Linked DNA regions of Daphnia pulex. The protein of the gene in region 1 purifies or fractionates together with the protein of each later gene. This does not show direct contact. Links are inferred from orthologs where the notes say so. Each region holds a gene or a part of one and is shown on either strand. Other genes may lie near its edges.

Evidence for each region. Proteins that work in one complex are often made in the same cells at the same time.
Region 2: the proteins of anillin-like (region 1) and septin-7-like purify together in Drosophila melanogaster (affinity purification with western blotting; 3 studies listed by BioGRID, with this or other methods). This does not show direct contact. The link is inferred for Daphnia pulex from reciprocal best matches to the Drosophila melanogaster genes scra and pnut.

Annotation. Positions count from the first base shown.
Region 1 is NC_060019.1:5,223,584-5,226,221, forward strand, and holds the end of anillin-like, read right to left. Parts: coding exon 2,594-2,638; intron 2,529-2,593; coding exon 2,391-2,528; intron 2,330-2,390; coding exon 2,209-2,329; intron 2,145-2,208; coding exon 1,983-2,144; intron 1,920-1,982; coding exon 1,831-1,919; intron 1,769-1,830; coding exon 1,589-1,768; intron 1,477-1,588; coding exon 1,138-1,476; intron 1,064-1,137; coding exon 935-1,063; intron 866-934; coding exon 725-865; 3' UTR 512-724; downstream 1-511. UniProt on the Drosophila melanogaster protein: Required for cytokinesis. Essential for the structural integrity of the cleavage furrow and for completion of cleavage furrow ingression and proper formation of the midbody.
Region 2 is NC_060017.1:3,484,938-3,488,956, reverse strand, and holds the start of septin-7-like, read right to left. Parts: upstream 2,809-4,019; 5' UTR 2,546-2,808; intron 2,052-2,545; 5' UTR 2,050-2,051; intron 1,906-2,049; exon of another isoform or gene 1,613-1,905; intron 1,371-1,612; exon of another isoform or gene 1,252-1,370; coding exon of another isoform or gene 1,074-1,251; intron 937-1,073; coding exon of another isoform or gene 716-936; intron 611-715; coding exon of another isoform or gene 499-610; intron 253-498; coding exon of another isoform or gene 93-252; intron 1-92. Other genes in the region: transcription factor Adf-1-like, read left to right, coding at 93-252, 499-610, 716-936, 1,074-1,251; protein fem-1 homolog A-A-like, read left to right, coding at 3,838-4,019. UniProt on the Drosophila melanogaster protein: Involved in cytokinesis and possibly cellularization. Also acts as an enhancer of the sina gene, thus having a role in photoreceptor development. May be involved in p53-dependent apoptosis.

The DNA.
Region 1 (2,638 bases):
AACATTATATTTCACGTTATCCGTTTTCGAGAGCGTGAAGAGAGAATATTTTGTTTTTGTTGACGAAAAATAAATCGGTTGTTGTTTGATTTTCTTTGGGGCTTGCGAAGCCAGTGGGGTCCTTCGTCAAAGTTATCAATTTAGTTTTCATTTGACAAGCGTGCAGAATTAAATGTACCAATTTATAAGAAACATTCAGTTTTTAGATTTAGGACTTTAGGAGTATGTAGGGCCTGTAGGCTCCTATTTTTATTGATAGGTATTTAGGTTTACATTGTGCGGAGAGCCAATAGCGTGGTCAGATTTTGGCGGTAGTTTCCTCTCTTAAGCTCGAAAGCAAAAGCTCTAACCTATAATAAATGACGATTTGCAGCATGCATAACGACCATATGATAACTTATTTTATTGGGTAAACTATTTCTTTTAGATATTTAACACAAAATATTGTGTTCCCAAACTAAGTCTGAAGACCATTTTCATAATCAGACTTCAAATTCAACAAAAAGCACAATTGCAAGACCAATAATGTATTCGATTCAAGAATTTGAATTTGAAGTCGCTTTGACGAACCTTAAAAAAGCTTAGAATGTAATAAATTGAAGGAAAGAAATTAAAGTAGAATATAAATGTAAAATCTAAAAGATAAAGCGATTAAGCTACATAGAATATAGACATTCATTGGCGATTTCCCCAACGTTAGTACTCATAGCGAAGAACGTTTAATTCACTCCAAGTTCCAAACTCTGAAGTTGGCTAAAACCCTATTTATCTGCATGCACCACAACTGACGCTCTTCTTTCAAGTCAGCGGAAATCAGATGGCGCAGGGCTGTTTGATTGGGATAGCATGTCATAACCAACGAATCCTAGAAACAAAACAGAAAAAATGAAATCGAAAAGTTCTCTTAAACTTCAAAAAATAATAACTTGAATACTTTGTCCGTGTTCTCTACAGGTCTGACAGTGATGAGCAAAAATGTGTTTGGTCGAGCGCAAACGTCATTAGAAACTATATCGACGTGCTCCGTTATGCATTTCCTAAGATTGATGGAGTATTGGGGTTCCTATTGATACGCAACATTCCCGATGAAATATATAACCCAAGACATATGCGAAAATAATATAGTTCTTGAACAACCTTAAGTTTCTCATCGTCAGGGTATTTCCAGAAGAGCAATTGGTCGTTCGATAACAGACACCATCTCCTATGCCACGCCCCGAATCCACCAACATCTTCGAAAACGGTTAAAAAGCCACGTTCTTCGATCAGACTCTCAGTGTGGCTTTGGATTTTTAACTGGAGCGTTCCATCAATAGGAGAAGCAACTGGTACTTTCTCTAGTGACCACTCTCGCCTCCTCAAACTTGTTGGTGTAATGTTGGTCACTCCTACTAATCCAAAACTAGAACTACGTAGATTAGCCGTAGAAGATCCACCTGAAACTGACAGTGGTGTTCTCGGCATTCCACGACTATCCTGAAACGTGGAAAAGTAACTTGGTTATTAAACGTCTTTAGACGGGTATTAAATTCGAAAAACATTTCAAATAACAAATTTCTTTAAAATCTTTAACAGTGTGCATGCTTACTTGTTTCGAAAGTTTTTTTGGAGTTAACCGCATTTTGCTATTATCCTTGCGAATATGATATTTAGTTTCGTGATTCATCTTTTCTTTCCATGTTTGCAACGCATAAACTTCAATCACTACATCAAACTCTGCAGGAAGATTTCTCAGTTGCACCAAATTGGGGAAACGCAACACACCATCCTTTTAAAAGCAAAACTTAGCGAATGGAAAATATAAAAAAGAAAAAACAAAGTATTTTTAACCTGGATTCCGTCTACCGTTGACAGCATTTGCAACGGAATTACTTGGCCTCGGCTGCGTATTAGCACGATGAAATAATGTACAACATCACCTAAAAAAATATAATTGTCATTAGATAGAAGCACACTTTTATTAGATGAATGAGTTTATGTACCCCCGCCTTTCTTAAGCATCGATAAAAAATCTTTTTTAAGTGGAAGTCCAATATTGCTGAATGACAGAGTGCCGCGAGAAGCTAGTTTGTTTGAAATCACTTTCATGGCTGCTTCACTTTTTAACCTCTGAATTTCATTGATAGCTGCTTGCTTTTTCTGGCCTGAATAAAGTAATCAAATGAGTGAGGAAAACATTCGTTAAGCCGCTTATAACGATAACCTTACTGGAAATAAGAAGCAGTTTTTCTCCTTCGACTTGCTCAGTGGAACCAGAGAACTCGGCAGTGGCTCGACATAGATTTAAGGCTTGAGAGGCTTGAGCCATAACACTTTGTTGAGTAGAGATCTAAGTAAGAAGTCAAAATATAGGGTGCGAAAGTAAGAAATAGTTTTAGAGTATCTCATACCTCTTCTTGAAGGGTGCGAATTTGCTGTTGAACAGAAACTTCAAGTGATTCATTTGACTCATAGGTTTCATGCCGTGAAGCTACTTGACGAACTTCTGGGTTCCGTACAATCTGTTTCATTGGCGTAAACGTCTTTTCCTATGACAAAAACAATGAATCTTTACAAGTTAATAGTTGAAAAAATCATTAAAAAAAGATTTTACCTTTTGCTGGCGATAAGAACTAACGGAATGAAACAATGAAATGGC
Region 2 (4,019 bases), on another chromosome or scaffold:
CTTCCCACCCGCACCTGTCTGCTGTCCTTTTTTTTCTTAAAAAAATTCCCAAACAAACCATTCAGAGATATATTTATTTGTCGACTTTATAGCCATCGAGTGCGAGCACCGCTGGCGCTACTTGCGGGACCGGTACACGCGGGAGCGCAAGCGCAAGTCGCAGCAGACCAACGGCTGCAAATCGGGAGGCGGAGGCAACTGGCCGTTGGCTTCTCAAATGCATTTCATCCAGGATTTTATCAAACACCGCAGGTACAGTAGAGAGAGAGAGAGCACGACTTTTTCTCACACACGTTTTTCTTCGGTAGTTTTGTCTTAATAGTTTCTTTGACTCGGTTGGAAAGTCTCATGGCCTTTACGAGCAGTTGCCTGCGCTGTTTACTACTGATAAAACGAAAATAGACAAGTGACGATGTTTTTAAAGCTGGGAATCAATAGAATATTCATCGGCGATGATTCTTTTCCTTTCCTTTCCTGGGGGGGGGGAATTTTGTTTAGTTTCAAATTCAAGGCTCGCGGGGGCGGCGGTGGCGGCAGCAGCGGCGGCCAGCAGGAAGCGACGTCTGATGGTACAAACACGCCACGAGGTGCCCGCCAACAACACGTCAAGGTAACAAACGCCAGACTTTCCTCAATGATTGAAAGAGTGGCTGGCTTTATCATTCGAACGGACACACACACACACGATAATCCTATCTTTTCCTATCTCTGACAGTCTGAAGGTGATAATAATCATACGTCGTCGGATGAAACTGACGGGCCAGTTTCGCCGGGATTCGATCAGCAAAGTGCCGCAGCGGCCGAATGCTACCCCATGGTCATTATCGAGGAAACAGACGGGCACCATCACATAGGTCCACCTCGCTCAGGCACACCTTCAGATTACCTACGAGGAGGAGGAGGTGGAGCGGTTGATCACCACCACCATCACCACCGGTAAAAACAACCCAAAACTCAAAATTGAATTTAAAAAAAAAAAGAACTGCAGAGGCAGCACAAACCCTAAAAAAGAATCGGCTACCATATAAGGATTATTATTATTTTGTTGTTTTTCCCATTTTCTGATATTGAAGGTCGTCAGCGTTCAATAACGGCGGGAGCACAAGCCCTCGGATGACGTACAACGAAGATGAACTCTTCTGTCTCTCAGTGGCGCAGACACTGCGACGTCTGCCGCTAATGCGCCGATCTTTGGCCAAAGTTCAAATCCTTCAACTGATACACGATATGGAATTCGGGAGTCATTCCTAAACTGAAACACACATTTTCGGTGGGGGCAAAAGATTGAACGCCACTTGAAAAAAAAACTATTCCCCCCTCCTCGTCTCCTGTTCTTCTCTTTACTTTATGAATACATGTTTACATCTCAAGTGGTTAGTGTGTATCTGGCAACTCTGTGGGTCGTGATAAAAGGTGTGCGCATATAGCCAGTAGAAAAGAAAAAAGAATCGGAGCCAAGAATAGCGATGATGACTTTTCTCTCTCTCTCTCTCTCTGAACCCTTCGCCCCGTGGTATAACCGTGATTCCTTCCAGACATTCTTCACGGTCAACAAACACACACACACACCTCAAAGAAAAACCCCCCTTTCTACTGGGTACAACAATAACACCTGTGCAGGAAATCCGGACAAGATCCAGCCAGCCGCAACAGCAAGTAGTTAAGACAATAAAACACAATCAAATAAAAAGAGGCCTCCTTTTTCACAGTTCACCGAGACACTGGCGGAAAATGATAGTTCACTTTTGCACCACCAGAACAAGTCGGGATGAAAAAACCAAAAAAAGATAAGCAGCAGCAAACACAAACAATTTGGTAACGTCTAAAGTCTCTTTCGCTTGAGACTTGAAGTCGGAACGACCGTTCCGATTCAACTGACCGGCGGGATTGAGAGCGCGCGCCATAGTAGCACGCCGCCCGTTTTGACTAGTGGCGCCTCTAGCGGGACAAGATAAACCAACCCAGATTGCCGTTTTATAACACTCTCGCTTTGAATCTATCGACTTAAAAACCAAGAAAAATAAAACCAAAAAAAAGAGTGACACTCACCACTTTATGTCAGGAACCACGTGGGGGCGATGATGTCGATCGATTATTTAATTTAAAAAGAAAACAAAAACAAAAAAATAAAAAAAGATGAGTCTCTAGATCCACTTTCAATCAGGGCGTGTAACACTGTGACCAAGGATAGAGATTTTCAAATCAATTCAAATATGCACGCCAAAAGAAAGGGGAAAATGCTGGAATCCGGTTTCGAAACGAGCCGTCTCGAATATCCCCACCCTTCAAATACGCCCAGGTTTCGGCCAGTTGTATCGAAAAATGTTTTTAACAAAAATGGATCTGCCAGACTAAAAAGTGAAGGCTTTCAAGAAGGCCACTGACAAGTTGCACATGCCGTTTCCTTGGCTTTTTATTCTTTTGTCCAGCCATCCATTTTTCTTTTTCGTTACAACCGACTTGACTGTTTCCAAAAGACTACAGCACTCGACAGAAATAATTTGGCTGTGTGATTTCACAGAAAAATGGGGAAACAACAACTTACCGCTCTTCTGCATCGTTGTCACAGCAGACACACACACACCACTCGAGATGGGGGCAAAAACGGTTGCTTCTTCTTTTTTCTTCTTTCTCTCCTTGTAGTGGCAGTCACTGTTGCTTTTCAAAAACGGGAGTGGAGCTTGGAAACCCGCGTCAAGATTAGGAATTTTCGTCACAGCCAACTGCCAAACACACACACACCAGTTACTTTTTAGTTACACACAACGTGAAGGAACACTGGGCAAATGTGTATGTAAACGCTGTGGGGAATCAAGTGAGAGTTGGACGAGCGTCTGCGACCCAAACGCCATCTAACGGTGGAATTTCGTACTCTATTGTAAAAAAAAATGGGAACCCATTGTTCGGCGGAAAAATCTTGATTTTGACAATGATAAATGCCTCGGAACGAATTGGATGACGATGTTTCGTAAATTAGAAAGCTGATAGCCACAGAATCTTATTAGGGAAACAGAACGTGAATCCCCAACATTTTCATTACCGTCAATCACATTAGGCGTTTACGAGTTTTTCTTATTTCAAAGTGCAATAAGGTCATAATCTGGGTTGTGGTCAAATTTCCTTTCTTTCCCTTCGCTGCGAGCCTGAGGAGCGATAAGATTCCGGATGAAGAAAATCTGATAAGACTTTTTTCTCCGCACATGCTGTACACGTTACTTAACCCAAAGAAAAAGGTTTTTTAGAGACGGAGAAAAGTTATCTTGAAATCAAGCCAAAACTTTTAGGAAGAAAATTGTTCCTAGAGAAAAAAGTTCCCAAAGAACTTTGTCAGCAGTTAGCTCCCTTAAATAGGAAACGAAAGGGCTGCAATATTCAGGAGAAAACGTCCGAGTGAATTAATTATTACGACATTTTCATGTCAATAATGTCGTGTTTTCATAGCTTAAAATGAATGAGCTTGCGTCACGCACGAGAAAATACTCGAAAAATATAGGAAAGTCTAAATAAGGAAGGCTGCATGGCCATATTCTACCCATATTTTGGTTCTTATGGACAATGGTCTCTGTGATCAGACCTTCCCGACCATGAAACAATAAAACTCATTTTCAGCTTTTAAAAATTCGTTTTTGAGATGAAATTTCATTGAACAATGTGCTTTAATATAATTAAAAGCATTTTATTATCTATTCTTTTTCCTACTGATCCGCACAAACGAATTAAAAGTAAAAGAATCACGAAAATCGGACTTGCGACGACGAATCGAATTGGAGGAAGATGATATAAGCAGACTAGATTGACTATTGTTTCATTACATGTGCTCTTATTGTTCCATCAACCATGGGTTCTAATAGAAATATCAGCAACCACTTTTTCGCAGCTGTGAGCATTGGCTCAGAACTTGAATTGCGTGAAATACTGGAGGCGGAAGGACGGGAAATTACGATCGATGCAGCCCAATCGTACAATGAACAGGGGGAAACTCCGCTACTGGTGGCCATCCGCCGCAAACACATCGGCGT